2 linked regions of the Alligator mississippiensis genome follow. The protein of the gene in region 1 purifies or fractionates together with the protein of each later gene. This does not show direct contact. Links are inferred from orthologs where the notes say so. Each region holds a gene or a part of one and is shown in the gene's direction. Other genes may lie near its edges.

Region 1 (7,529 bases):
GCTGCCTGGGCAGTGCAATCAATGCTTCCCTCCTGGCAGGATGCTCTCCGGGTCAAGCAGCATCAGGAGGCCAAGGAGACGGAGTGGCTGTACAGAGAGATGGAGGCCATGCTGAAGCAGAGCCACTTGGAGCGTGCCTCGGTCATACAGGCACAGCAGAACCGCAGCTCTTTCCAGCAGATCCTCAGGTAGTGCGAGGCGTGGCCTGGCCCCAGGATGACAGTGGGGTTGCAGGCCCTGGAGAGTGTGCCTGTGGGGGAACTAAGCTAGGGCACATCAGGCTTGCCCTCTGCAGCTCTGGCTGAGCCTGGGGTGCACAAGCTGCAGTGGAGACAACCTGGCTCGGGTAGACATAGGACCCCATGTATGCGGGAGGGGGTGGGCCAGCCCCAGCAGGAAGGTCATGGTCTTTCCAGCCTGGGCTGGCCCCTATCACCAGCACTGGCATTTCCCCCAGGGAGCAGGCACTGAAGGAGCAGAGGCAGCAGGAGAAGTGGGCGACCCAGAGAATGGTGGATGCCAAGGACATTCAGCACCAGATGCAGAAGTATCAGGAGAAGCTGGCATGTGAGCGGGTTGTCTCCTTTGAGGACAAGAAGCATCTACAGAAAGAGAGACAGTGGCATGCTGACCACATTGCCCAGCTCAAGAGGCAGAGGATAGAGGAGCTCCGGTGAGGGTGGGACTATGTAGGGGCTGGACTGTGGGTGCTTGCAGGGGTGCTGGTCTTGGGGCGTCGCCCACCACATCTGGCACAACTCATGCTGTCTCTCCCTTTGCCATGTCCTAGGGCAAGCTGAGCCCCTGAGACTTGCCAGCTGGTGCGGGAGCAGGGCAGGGGGCCCAGGCCCTGGGCTAAGGGCAGGACGGCTGCAGCAGGACTGGCCAGGCCAGTGGTGGGAGCTGGTTGGGAGGGCGGGAGGCAGTTCACCTTACTGGGTGCTGCACCAAGCTGCCCTTCCTGCCACCTACTCTGAGCCTCGTTTCTGCCCTCCATGCTCCCGTGCTCACTGGGGGCTGGCTGTCCCCATGGGAGCAAAGCCAGAGCAGAGTCCCTCCAGCTGGGCTCAGCCGTCACCTGTTGTCACAAGTCAGCCCTGGTCCCGGGGGGCCAAGGTGCCAGATGTGTTGCTGAGCCCCTTGGGGCTGGCTTTGGGCCCTGGCACAGATGGAGATGCCATGGCAGGTGGCCCTGTACCATGTCTTGCTCCATGGCAGTGGTCTGGGCTCTTACTAGTTTTTTTCCTGTTTCCAGAGCCACCAGCCCACCCGAGAAATACTGCCTAGGTGTGGAGTGCGTGGGCTTGATGAAGCCAGGCCCCAAGGACCGAGGGTCTCTGCGCACTGCCCAGCCCATGCCAGGGGACTTCCAGGGGGTCATGTGTGGCCTGCCCCCAGCCTAGACTGTTTATATTCTTGGATTTAGAAATTGTAAATAAATGTTTGTGAAGGTTTACCATACGTCTGGGTTTTCCTGGACATGTCCACTTTTTGGATGCCCCCATCTGGGTGTTTTTTTAAAATATCAGCAAATGTCCAGGATTTTGCTTTACCTCTGCCCCAGCAAAGGAGTTGCTGGGGACAGCGGGGAAAGGTGATTGGAGGCAGGGCATCACATGCAGCCGCAGGCAGCTGAGAGAGAGAAAGCATGTGTGTGTGTGTGTGTGTGTGTGTGTGTGTGTGTGTGTGTGCCCACACATGCTGAGAGAGAGAGAGGGTGTGCGTGTGTGTGTGTGCATGTGTGCGTGGGCGTGCTTGCCAGTGCTGGGTCTGCAGCAGAGTGGGGGAAGGGAGCGGAGGGGTTCTTCGGGGGCAGCAGGGCTTGGGGGGGCAGGGGGCTGCAGGTCAGGAGTGAGGGGTATCAGCAGGCCCTGCTGCCACTGTGTCCCACTGAAGGAGGAGAGTTGGACCTCGCCCAGGTTTATTTTGGAGGCTCACTGGTGCCCCTGGAGTGCAAGGCTCCATTACAGCAGAAACTTAGTGCTATGCCCAAGGTCTTCTTGCTCCACGAATGAGACATGGGGTTGGCCATAGGGATAGAGCACCACATACGGCTACAAGACACTAGAGCATTTCCTGAACGATCACAGAGGATTGCACTTGCCTTCCATGCGCTGGCTGCCCGGCCACAGAAGGCACGTGGTGTCGTGTGCGGCTCCCCATGTTCAGACCCCAGCATGCAGCAGCAGCTGCCCCCACCCCACATATAAATCTGGGGGGGCAGGTAGCCCCTGTGCCTAACCTGGGGTGCACACAGGTGGGAGTCTCCCTGATGCCCCGGCAAAGCCTATGTCATCCCAGGCAAGATAAAAATGGGCTTGGGATATGACGCTGAGCTCTGCAGGCTGACTGTGGCAGGCGGGTGGGGGTGCAGAGCGACACCGAAGGTGGGGCCTGGCTGGGCCCGTGCAGCTCCACGAGGGGATGCCACCTGGCTCAGGGGGGCTTTCAGCTCTGGGCTTGGCCTCCCTGCACACTGGGCACAGTGCGAGCAGGGCAGAGCCATCCCTGCTGCAAGGGCCTGGCCACGGGAGCACCTGGGAACAGCTGCCTGCAGCTGCCCCAGCCTGCCTGAGCCCTGGCCCTGCCCACCTGCAACTGCCCTCAAGGGGCTGGGGCCAGGGCAGGTGCTGCGCGGGGGCGGCTGCACTGCAGGCTCCCAGGCGGCTCAGCTCTGAGCACTGCCTGCAGCGGCTATTTCCGGAGCCCACGGAGTCCATGCTGTGGCCCAGGGGGCTCTGTCCAACTTGTGCTGCACCTGGCATGCACAGAGCCCAAGCCAGGAGAACCCCGAGCCTGGTGTCCTGCCCCGGCCAGGCAGCGTTCCCTTGTGGGCAGGGTGGCTGTGACCCATCCCCGTGGGGCTGCACAGCCTGGGCTGGGCCCCACCTCCGGTACTGCTGAGCATCCCCCCTGCAGCCCGAGTCGGTGGAGCCCCAGGGGAGCCCCTGCTCCCCACCTGGCCCCTGCTCATCTGGCTGCAGCCTTCCCAAGGGCCAGCCAGGCCAGCCTGACTGCACTGCCTCCCCTGTCCCCCCCAACACCTGCTCTCCCCATGCCTCTCCCTTCTCTTTTTTTTCTCCATCTCTCTCTTCCCTCCCTCTCTCTCTTCTCTTTCTTTCTCCTCTCTCTCTCCCCCATCTCTCTTCTCTCTTCCTTCTCTCTCATCACAATGTGCTTAACAAAAAAGAAGACACAAGAACAAAGGTAGCACATGAGGTTTTATTTATTGTCACCAGGTTTAGAATTTTGAGAAAACCTGCTATTTACTGTAAAAAAAAAAAAAGAAGAAGCAGCCACATTTATGATTATTAACTATATTAATCTGCAGTGTGTCCTGCCATGCAGCCCCCACCCCAGGTTTGTTTTTCTGGGGTGTCGGCACTCTGGCACCTTACAGCATACACAAAGCAGTTTTTTTCAGTGCCCTGGCCGAAAACGTTGCCTACCCCTGGTTTACACCGTCTTTTTTTCCAATTTACAATTGTTTTATATGGCTACCGTAACCGGTAAAACAATGTTTTATGATTACTAAAGGTTTTGATGTTGTATTAATACACAGCCTGTTACCTATGTGTATGAAAAATTTGCTGGTGGTACTTAAGCCTGTAGTGCATGTACATGGTTAATAGGATTCACATGGACTTGGAAGGACTTCTTTGAGGTGACTTTGCTGGACTTTTTGAAGGGTTCTCGGCTGCTGTGTCTTCTCAGGAGTCCCGGCGGCAGGTTTTTCTGGAGTCTCACCTGCTTTCTTAAAGAAAGAGTCCAAGGAAGTTTGCACAGATGAGTTGAGCGACGCAGTGAACTTGTTCGCCGGCGTGGCGTCGTGTCGGATCAAGTGCCATAAAGTCGCAACTGAGGTCAGAAGTTGAAACAGGGCGTCCGTTTATAAACGTTGTAGGTGGGAAACGTTGCAACTCGAAACGTTGTACAGCGCTGCGCCTAGTCCAGCGGACAGGGCAAGAAGTAAAGCGCAAGAAGCGCAACCGAGGCTGCGGACTGCGCAGAGCTGGACGCCCGGAGCGGGTCAGCCCAGGCAGCGCCGCCCCCGCCCACCAGGGGCGCACGCGCGCCGCACGCGGGGCCGCATCCCACCCACACGGGCGCAGGAAGCCGGCCGAGCTCAGAACGAGGCGGGGGGCGGGGTCTGCGGTAGCTCCGCCCAGCTGGGGAGGCAGCGGCAAGATGGCGGCGGCGGGGCCGGACCGGGAGCTGGACGACCTGCTGGACAGTAAGGCCGGGCGGAGCCGGGGCTCAGGGTTGCGGGAACTTCCTTCTTCACATGCGGGGGCCGCCGGGTGCGGGAGCGGGGCGGGAAGGGGCCTCCTTCTCCTCCCCCGAGCCGGGTCTTTGTGCCCCCTCCCGGCACGGCACGGCACGGCACGGCTCGGCTGCCCGGCCCGCGAGGAAGAGGGTTGTGTTGTTCTCCCTGCGGTCCCATCCTCTTTGCACCCCCCCCCCCCCCGCAGCTATTCACCCCCTGTCTTCTCTAGGCAATTGTTGTGCCTTTGTTTTGTTGCCATATGGGAGAGACGCCAGCCTCTGACGTTGTCACGACATCAGAGACGTTCCCTTCTTGGCACGCGCACGTGCCGCGGGTTAAAAAACACGGCTCTTTGCAGAGGTGCAAATGGCACGTGTGTGTGTGTGTGTGTGTGTGTGTGTGTGACACGGTTTCCACGATGGCGCCTCTTGGGAGCACTGCCCTGGTCAGCCGTGTGCAGGGGGTGTCCGACGGGCCTCTCAGAGGTCTAGAGCAGACGCCAGCATCCGAAAGGCAAACCCCTCCTGTGGGTGCAGCAGTCGGCGTTTCCAGGTGCTGCAGCTGAACCTGGCTTTAAGGCGCTGACTGCCAGCAGCATTTGAACCCAGAGGTCCCCGGAGACCAGCACCCCCCAGCGAAGCAATAGGGGCCCAAGTGCTTCGGGAGGGGAGTGGAGCTGCCGTGTGGCCGTGCCAGCTCCTCCCGCCTTGGCTGTTGGGATGCTGAGCCGCCTGGGTCCCGGCTTCTGCAGCGGCCTTTTCGGGGGTGCCAGCCTGAGCCTGAAGAGCTTGATTTAAAAGTAGGAGTGGGATTTCAGAGCACGGGGCAGTCCCCGTGGAGGTCAGGGGCTGTCGCATCCTCTCGCAAATGCTGTGTCGTATTCACTCGGAGCCAGTTGAATCCTTTCACCACCCCTCACTCGGGAACGTTGTGCAGGGATGGCTGCAGTTACGACTGGGCAGCTCAGGCTCAAATGCAGCTGGTGCGACTGAAGGAACAGTTATGTCACCCGTAGGTCGGTGACGGTGTGCTCACATCCCTCTGTCCCCAGTTGAAGCTGCATCTCATCCGCAGCAGGTCTGAATCCCCTTAGCTTGGAGAGCAGTGCGAGGGACTGGCTGGGCGCTGGTGCAGAGTATGGCTCTATACGTGACATCCAAAGACATGTAGTGAACTGCAAACGTCTTGGCTGGCTTCCTCCATGTCATGCTGCTCAGGACTGCCCTGGTGTTGTGGCCTTGGTCTGACTTCCCTTATCTCCCCCTTGTCTGGGACCTGTGTGGTCTTATCCCCTCATCTGAGCTCTCTGCTTTTGCCCTGAAGGTGCTCTTGATGACTTTGACAAGACCAAGCCGGCCCCACCACCCCCAGCGACTGCCGGAGCAGGAGATGCCAGCAGTGCTGAGAAGTCTCCTAACGATGCTGCCAAAGTAAGAGCAGTGACCACCCATGGCTGTATGGGCTGGAAGGGTACGGGGAAGTATTTCCCTTGTCTTAAGCTTGGGCAGAGTTGTTGAACTGGGAACACGTAGCATTTTCTCCCACCCAGTTGTGCAGGGACAGTTGCGCACTATTCAGCATCTTCATCAGTGACTTGTGCAAGGGGGTAGAAAGCACCCTGTTCAAGTTCGCAGATGACACTAAGATGTGGGGTGAAGTGGGTACACTAGTAGGAAGGAACAGGCTGCAAGCAGATCTAGACAGGTTACAGGGGTGGGCCGAAGAGAACAAGATGGGGTTCAACACTGACAAGTCCAGGGTGCTGCACCTGGGGAGGAAGAACCAGCAGCACACCTGCAGCCTGGGGAACTCCCTTCTCACCTGTGTTGAGATAGAAAAGGATCTTGGAGTCATTATTGATGCCAAAATGAACATGGGCTGACAGTGTGGGGATGCGGTCAGGAAGGCCAACCGTACCTTGTCGTGCATCCACAGATGCATCACGAGCAGGGCCAAGGAGGTGATCCTCCCCCTCTATGCGACACTGGTCAGGCCACAGCTGGAGTACTGCATCCAGTTCTGGGCGCCGCACTTCAGGAGGGATGTGGCCAATATGGAGAGGGTCCAAAGGAGGGCCACCTGCATGATCAGGGGTCAGCAGAGCAGGCCCTATGAGGAGAGACTGAGGGACCTGAACCTGTTCAGCCTCCAAAAGAGAAAGCTGAGAGGGGATCTGGCGGCAGTCTGCAAACTAGTCAAGGAGGACCAGCAGGCATTGGGAGAGTCCCTGGTCCCCCAAGCAATCCTGGGAGTTACAAGAAACAGCGGACACAAGCTAGCGGAGGGTAGTTTCAGGCTAGACATTAGGAAGCACTATTTCACTGTCAGGGCGGCTAGGACCTGGAACCAGCTTCCAAAAGAAGTGGTGCTGGCTCCTACCCTGGGGGTCTTTAAAAGGAGGCTGAAGGAACATCTGGCCGGGATCATTTGACCCCAGCACTCTTTCCTGCCATGGCAGGGCGTCGGACTAGATGATCTCCTCAGGTCCCTTCCGACCCTATCAACTGTGAAACTGTGGGTGGGTGGGATGGTCTGGTTCTGGAGCCAGGCACCTCAGTAGCTCAGTAGCCACTTCTCTTCAATCTCATGTCATTGCAGTTGACTGGTTTTATTGCCAGCCTCAGAAGCAGGCTCTGGATGCCCTTGTGTCTTGCATTTACACCTCCGATTTGCTGGGGCACATGTTGAAAGATGAGTCCAATGACAGCTGCCCCAGTCCAGTCAAGCTCAGTAATTGGCAGGTGCTTGGGGTAAAGTTCATGACTTCCAAACATGGTGGGCCAACAAGTGTCCCCAGAAATATTTCCCATTGTGGTAAATGCATTAGGATCCATCTGTGGCAGGGTCTGGGCTGAGCTCAGATTCCTGGAGCGAGATCTGGCCGTCAGAAGTCCTGGCTTCTGTTTTGGCTCTGCTACAGGTTCTTTGTGACCACAGGCAGGCAGCCTCCCTGTTTGTGAAATCGGGATAAAGATGCTAGCTGTATGCCTTTTCTGCCGCCTGGTCTCTTGTGACTGAAAGTGTGCCCATGCAGGCCAGCTGACGTGCCTGGACTTGACATTTGCTGTTCCCAGAATGTTCTGTACCTGTGGGATGGCTTTTATGAAGACTTGGAGTGTTGATCTGTCTAGTTTGTTCTTGCCCAGGTGTCTGTCTGAGGCTAAATTGGGAATTATTGCAAGAGCCTGTTCGCAGGTGATCCCCAGGTGGTTGAATCAGCAGCGGAATTGGATGTTGGACTCTTGCTGGTTTCCCCGGGGGC
Region 2 (7,403 bases), on another chromosome or scaffold:
GCCACACTGGGGAGCGCCCCTACAAGTGCACTGACTGTGGCAAGGCCTTCAAGCGCTCCTCACTGCTGCAGATCCACCAGAGCGTGCACACCGGTCTGCGCTCCTTCAAATGCACCCTTTGCGGTATGGCCTTCAAGTGGTCCTCACATTACCAGTACCATGTGCGCCAGCATACAGGTGAGCGCCCGTATAAGTGCACCACATGCGAGAAGGCCTTCAAAAACTCATCCAGCCTGCGGCGTCACCGCAACATCCACACAGGCGAGCGCCCCTATGTCTGCACAGCGTGCGGCAAAGCCTTCACCCAGTCCACCAACCTGCGGCAGCACCAGCGCATTCACACAGGTGAGCGCCCCTACAAGTGTGCTGACTGCACCAAGACCTTCACCCATTCTTCCAATCTCCTACTGCACCAACGCACCCATGCCAGCAGCCGGGCCCACAAGTGCCAGGCTTGTGGCAAGGCTTTTGTCTCGGAGACCTACCTCCAGAAGCACCTGCAGACGCATGCGGCTAAGGCACCGACCGCTTACGGTGAGGCCGAGCTGGCCTGTGCACCAACTGAGCTGTTTTTGGCTGCTGCCGCAGAGGCAGTAGAAACTGTGGAGATGCTATGGAAGTGTGGGGACTGTGAACTGACCTTCAAAAGTGAGGAACTGCTGTTGGGCCACCAGCAGAGCCACCTGGAGGCGGCCCCGCCTCTGCCAGCTGAGGAGCTGCCTGTTGCACCACTCTACACCTGCCCCACCTGTGGCAAGGCCTTCAAAAATGGGTCAGGGCTGTCACGGCACCAGCACAGCCACACTGGTGAGCGACCCTACAAGTGCTCCATCTGTGAGAAGACCTTTGTGCAGCTCTCCAACCTTCTGGCACACCAGCGCACACACCCTGCTGAGCAGCAGCTCATTCAGGCTGAGGCTGAGGTCACCTGCCCTCAGTCAGCAACTGAGCCTTCCCCAACTCCGGCCCCTGTTCTGGCCCCAGCCCCTGCTGAGGCAGCTGAGCGCCCCTACAAGTGCACAGAGTGTGGCAAGGCCTTCAAAGGCTCATCAGGGCTGCGCTACCACCTGCGAGACCACACTGGGGAGCGCCCCTACAAGTGCTTGGAGTGCCCCAAGGCCTTCAAGCGCTCTTCACTGTTGTCTATCCACCAGCGTGTGCACACTGGTTTGCGTGCCTTCAAGTGTGCTGAGTGCGGCCTCACCTTCAAGTGGTCATCGCATTACCAGTACCACCTACGCCTGCACACAGGTGAGCGCCCCTACAGCTGTACCGACTGCGGCAAGGCCTTCAAGAACACTTCCTGCCTGCGGCGCCACCGCCAGCTGCATACTGGTGAGCGCCCCTTCACCTGCCTTGTCTGTGGCAAGGCCTTCACACAGACCTCCAACTTGCGGCAGCATCAGCGTACTCACACAGGTGAGCGTCCCTACACCTGCCAGCAGTGTGGCAAGACCTTCACCCACTCCTCCAACCTGCAGCTGCACCAGCGAACTCATTCTAGTGAGCGCCCCTTCAAGTGCCCTGTCTGTGCCAAGGGTTTCGTCATGGCCTCTTACCTGCAGCGCCACCTCCGCACGCACGCTACCGAGGCAGGTACCCCTGAGGCCAAGAGTGAGATGCCAGCCCAGGGCCTTCCACTCACACCCAGCACCCAGGAGGTGCACATTGTGCCCAACCTGCAGGCCACCCTCAATCTAGAGGTGGCTAGCCCACCCAGTGCCCCTAACTCCCAGACCTTCCTGCTGGTGCAGACAGCACAGGGCTTGCAGCTGATCCCCAGCATCCAGCAGAGCCCCCAGAAGCTGATCCTCCTGCCCAGCCCGCAGATGGTGTCCCCACACCAGAAAGTGCCCATTCTTCAGAGTACCCCCAACATCACCCTGATGCCCAGCAGCCCCACAGTTCCCAGCAAGCCACCCCCCCGCCGGCAGGGCAAGGCCAAGAAGCAGGCTGCCCCCAGTAACCCCAACCCACCACAGCCTGGCCAGAACATCATTCTGGTGCCAGCCAGCGGGCAGGCACTGCCTAGCATGCAGATCCAGACTTTGCCAGGATCTCAGCGGGTGCCAGGGCTCCAGACCGGGCAGAATGTTATTGTGCTGCAGAACATGCCTGAGCAGCCCTCTGCTGAGGTAACTAATGTCCAAGTCCAGGGCTTGCCACAGCCCCCTGAGGTGACTGGCATCCCAGCCTTGTCGCAGCCTCAGGACGTGACCAGCATCCAGATCCAGGCCCTGCAGCAGAGCTCCCTGGAGGCAGAGGAGGCTCAAACTCTTCCCAGCTCCCATGAACTGTCCAGTGCCCAGCTCCCTGCAGATGCTGGGCAAGAGATGGCAGACCTGCCAGAGGGCCAGGACCTGATTGTGGTGCAGAGCGCACAGAGTGATGACTTGCTGGGGCCAGGGACTGAAGTGAGTGGCCTAGAAGGGGTGCAGGATGTGCACCTGGAGATGCTGCAGACGGCTGAGGGACTGCAGAACGTCTTGGTACTGCGTGGTGCTGATGGGGAGCAGACCCGCTTCTGTGTGCAGGAAGTGGAGAACCTACCAGAGCTGCCCCCAGAGAGCGGATCAGGGGCCCTGACGGCTCCTGGGGGGCAGAAGCTCTTCATCATCCGCAGCACTCCCAGTGAGCAGACCCTGCAGGTCCTGGAGAACGTGTCAGGTCTGCAGGCACTGCCAGGACTCCCAGGCCCCAATGTGGGACAGCTCCCCCTGCAGGCACGGGGGGTGCCCAACAGCCCAGGGAGTGGCCAGCCCTCCTCTGGCAACACCCAGATGGTACAGCTGCTGCCAAGCCCAGTGCCACCTCCCCAGGAGCTGCAGTCCATCCAAATAGTGCAGACAGTGCCCAGTGTGCAGCTGGTTCATACCTTCTGAGTCCCATGCACCTGGCCTTGCAGGTGCCTGCCTTGCCCTGCTGGCCAGTACTGTGCCAGCGCATGTTGAACTTGGGGTGAATGTCCCCTCCTCTACTGTCATGCCATGTACTACAGACACTGTCCAGCTGGCTGCAGCAGAGGGCTCTGGGTTGCCTGATGAGCGCAGGCAGCCCCTGACTGCCTTTCCAACCTTGGCTGTAGCCTTCCAAGGCATAGGGCTGGTAGGACCTGACATCCATGTCATCAGAGCTGAGTCAGTTCTAGCTGGGCGTGGGATTGTGTAGCTGGGCTCCAGTTGCAAGGCGCTGTTTGCCTGTCCCTGAGCAGAGGTGCAGTGGGAGCTGGCCTGAGTGCTTCCCTAGCCTTGTCTAGCTGGACTCCAGTTGCAAGGCGCTGTTTGCCTGTCCCTGAGCAGAGGTGCAATGGGAGCTGGCCAGAGTGTTTCTCTAGCCTCTGCTCACTTCTAGTGTTTGAGCCTCTTCCAGGGCTGGGAGGAGAGTGGGGTCCAGAGGTCCAGAGCAGGCTACCTCAGGAACCAGGACTCCTAGGTTGTGTCTTGGCTCTGCAGGGGAGGAGTGAGTGGGTAGTAGGTTTGCCCAGGATTCCTGGGTTCTTTTCCTGACTGTCTGCCTTGCTAGGCCACCTTAGCTAAGTCTCTTCTTAGCTGCAGGAGGGGCCAGTGCTGTGAGGCTGCATGTGTACACGCAAACATGCTTTTCTCTTGGGGGAGGGGCCTGGGTGGGCACAGCTCTGCCTGCTGATCTGTGGAAACCCATTGCTCTCCCAGGCAGGAGATGGCATTGTGGCACAAGGGAGCAAGTGCAATGGTCTCCCAAGCCATTAGGCACCACTTCCCTGCCACCCAGATGCTGCCCTGAGCCCCCTGGCTGGGTTGGATCCTATCTCTTCCATAGTGACACCTGGCACTGCTCCCCAAAGGACACAGCTGCTTCAGCCCAGGCGGCAAATAAAGGACTGCTTATGAAGGGTCTGTGCCTGGTTTACTCAGTTTGCCGGGAGCGAGCTGTAGTGGCCCGAAGTGGGGAGCAGGGGTGACTGGAACAGAGGGCTGCCGGGAAAGGGCTGGGCTGAACTGCCCACCGGGAGGAGGAGGGATCCCCTCGGGGAGCAGCCTCTCTACCTGCCCCGTTCGGGGCGCGGCGGGCAGCCGGCGGGGTGGCGCCCCGCACAGCCAACCCGGCCTCGGGCAGGCGCCAAGCTCCCAGGCAGGGCCGGGTCGGGGCAGGGATCCCGGCTCAGCCGCAGGGGAGGCGGGTGGAGGGCAGGGTTGGTGGTTGTGAGGCTACCGGCGTACCCCCTCCACGCTCGCTGACTGCAGCGCCCTAGCCCGGCTCCGAGCAGCTGGGCCGCAGCACACGCTCAGCGCCATAGTGCGGGTGCCCCTCCCTGGTGCTAGAACAGCGGAGTGTGGGCGGGGCCGGGAGGGAAGCGGCCGGTGGGCGGGCTGCGCAGGCGCAGTGGGAGCGGCCGAGTCGGCTGAGCGCCAGGGAGGGTGAGGCTGCTCGCGGGCCCCGGGCGGATCCATTCATCCGGCGCGGGGGAGGCGGTTGGTTGAGGCTCCGTTCCGCGGAGCTGCCGGCTGTACCATTGGGGGGGCGGGCCGCCGGGTCCCTCCCCTGTGCTTCGCGCGGGGGCGGCCTGGTTCGTCCGGGCTCCGGCGCTTACCTGCCCGTCCTTGCCCCGCAGGGCCCGCCTGGCTGCCACGATGCCCGTGCTGGACCTTGCCCAGCTCGCCGTGCGCAGAATGCGGGAGGAGGAGGCACCCATCGTCCTGGAGCTGCTGAAGGTCTCCCTGGGGGTGGGGGCGCTCTGGTAGCCGGTTGCTGTGTCTGGCCAAGCTCTGTCCCTGGCTCTGCCCATAGTACCTGCCCCCAACTCTCTCCCCCTCCCCCAGTAACCAGCCCACTTCGCCACCTGCTTGTCCCTGGTGCCAGGGCCCAGGCATGGGCAGAGACAGTGACCCCAAATGGAAGAGTCCATAGACCTGGATGGGGTGAGAGCCAGCAGGGCAGAGGTGGGGGCCAAGCTGGGGTGCAGGATCCAGGCCCTGTGGGGATGCCAGACACCTGCCTTGCACCGCAGCAGCAGGGAGCAAGGCAGGACCAGCCAGGCGCCCCAGGGTGGAAGCTCTTTGCCCTGTGGCTCATCTCTCAGTCTGGGCCAGAGCCAAACAAGCAAAGCAGCTGGACAGGCAGCTGCTCAGCCCCAGCCAGGGTTGCCTCCAGGACCCAGGATTTCTGCATGGTCTCCCCTCCACCTGCTAACTAGGCCCAGCACTGTTTAGCTTTTGAGTTTAGACAAGATTGGGTGCATTCAGTCAGGTACGGGCACCTCCAGTGGGGGCCTCAACCTGGAGCCTTGCTTGTATTGGTAAGCTGTGGAGACTGAGCCCTTACAGCAGTGACTCACTACCAGGGTGCTGGCACACTGTGTTAGGAGATGAGGTGTGGGGAGATAATTGGATATGGGCAGGCTCAGGCTCTCCCTGCCTGGCTGCTCCCCTGCCCACACTACTTAGTCTGCCAGCAAGGAGGTAAGTACTATAATACATGTATTAGTTTTTAAATGGGGCGCCTCTCAATTCACAGAAGTTATTGAGGGGCGCCTCAAGTCTGATGAGTGGCACCTTTAGGCTAAAAATGTTGAAAATCACTGCCTTACAAGTCATCTGCTCCAGCCCTCCAAGGCCCAGGAGTCCCCTACTCTAATCCCCTGGGTCCCCTTCCTGTCACCAAGCTAGCAGTAGAACCCAGGATTTCTGACTTCTACCCATCTCCCTAAAATCAAAGGCAGCCAAGCTTCTGCCTGTGTCTTGTGTCTTGTACTTGTGACAGAAATACTGGATTGAGGTCCTGCCTCCCTTGCCTTCCCAAACTGCCTCTGAACTCAGCAAGCTCTACTGCTGGGGGCATTTTCCTTTCCACCTAGGTGCCCCTTACTCCAGCCTGGGGTACACCCTTCAGGAAGACTCTGGCTCACCTACAGCTTTGGATTGAGCCACATTCTATGCTCTCTGGGCCTGGCGCAGCCCAGCTGGTGCCGTCACCTGTGCTGCCTGGACAGTGTGCCCCTCCCTGCCACACCATGGTCCCTGCCCATGCTCATGTTGCCCTCCCCTCCACAGGATGGCTTTAAAGACACAGAGAACCGGCTGATCCTGTATGTCCTGACACGACCCCTGGTGCTGCTGCTCATGGCTGTAGTGAGCAGCGCCCTCCGCTTCCTGCTCAACTCTTTTGTGGCTGCTCTGTTGGTGCCTGTGTTGCTCACCATTGTGGCCCTCAAGCTGCTCCTGTGGCGGTCCGCTGACCTCCACTGCCTGCATACCTACTACTGTGGGGGCCAGCGGGGCCTCTGGGTGGCGGTGTACGATGGCGATGATGTGTGTGGATGCGTGGCACTGGAGCCCTGGGACCAAGGCCCACCTCGCGCAGCAGAACTAAAGCGCCTGGCTGTCAGCCGCTGGTACCGGCGATCTGGAGTGGGCCGGCACCTGCTGGCCTTCCTGGAGGCACAGGCCCGAGAACAAGGCTATGAGCGTGTCGTGCTCTATACCTCAGTAGTCGCCAAGGCTGCCATGAACCTCTTTGAGAGCTGTGGCTACCAGGCAACTGGCGGGCGAAGCTGGCTGGGCTACACCGTTGTGCAGGAGTTCAGCAAGGAGCTGTAGCATCTGCCCCTACCCGGCGCCCTCCTGACGGTGGGGTAAGAGGGGCCAGCTGGGGCTTCTCCATCCTCCACTGCACCTCGGAGAACTTGTACAAGGGGATTCAGGGAGCATCTGTGAACAGTCCAAGGCCTCCACACTCAGAGGACAGGGGGCACCACCTTTGAATGTGTGTGCATACAAGGGCCTTTCTGAGTGTGCTTCCATGGGAGTTGGATGTCATCAGGTGGATCCTGCTATGAGGGCCCAGGCAATGTGTAATATGCTGGGGCTGATGCTGAGGCATGGAGCAAACACTAGGAAATGCTTGTTGGGAGACAGTAACCTCCTGCCAGCAAAGTCATGGCTCATGGCATGCCTAGAGAGAATGGAAGAAGCCTGTGAAGCATGGACTGGGAAGGACTGTTTCTTGTGATGTGGGCCTGGGGGCACCCCTCCTTCCCTAGGGGCTATCCCATCCCAGAACAGCCTTCTACCATGCATAGGCTTGGCTGGGACTAGGAAATGTGAATGAGGGGGTGGGCAAGGAAATGGTGCCCAAGAGTCTAATGCCCATCCCCATCGTAGCTGTGACTGAAGGTTGCTTTTGGAGACAAGGAGGCTGCACATAGGCTCCAGTAACTGCAGTGGCATCTGGCTTGGTTCTCAGAGCTGCTGAGCATTTCTGTCACCCCTAGCATTAGGCCTGTGTGTGTATTTGAACGTACGTGTGAATAAAGCGTGTTGTAGTGACTGCTTCACCTGTCTACATGCTGGGATGGGCCTGCCCTCAGTCAGCCTCCAGCTGGACAGGGATCTATGACTGTGAGGAGGCTGGGGCCCCCTTTACTC

What was found.
Region 2: the proteins of PEX19 (region 1) and NAT14 purify together in Homo sapiens (co-immunoprecipitation; 3 studies listed by BioGRID and IntAct, counting the BioPlex papers as one, with this or other methods). This does not show direct contact. The link is inferred for Alligator mississippiensis from reciprocal best matches to the Homo sapiens genes PEX19 and NAT14.

Annotation. Positions count from the first base shown.
Region 1 is NC_081838.1:21,134,963-21,142,491, reverse strand, and holds the start of PEX19 (peroxisomal biogenesis factor 19), read left to right. Parts: upstream 1-4,130; 5' UTR 4,131-4,188; coding exon 4,189-4,234; intron 4,235-5,590; coding exon 5,591-5,697; intron 5,698-7,529. Other genes in the region: cilia- and flagella-associated protein 45, read left to right, coding at 1-188, 458-673, 1,256-1,403. UniProt on the Homo sapiens protein: Necessary for early peroxisomal biogenesis. Acts both as a cytosolic chaperone and as an import receptor for peroxisomal membrane proteins (PMPs).
Region 2 is NC_081828.1:84,027,012-84,034,414, reverse strand, and holds NAT14 (probable N-acetyltransferase 14), read left to right. Parts: upstream 1-4,328; 5' UTR 4,329-4,397; intron 4,398-4,404; exon of another isoform or gene 4,405-4,451; intron 4,452-4,591; 5' UTR 4,592-4,610; coding exon 4,611-4,691; intron 4,692-6,029; coding exon 6,030-6,575; 3' UTR 6,576-7,304; downstream 7,305-7,403. Other genes in the region: ZNF628 (zinc finger protein 628), read left to right, coding at 1-2,882. UniProt on the Homo sapiens protein: Probable acetyltransferase. May act as a transcription factor that regulates the expression of coproporphyrinogen oxidase by binding to a promoter regulatory element.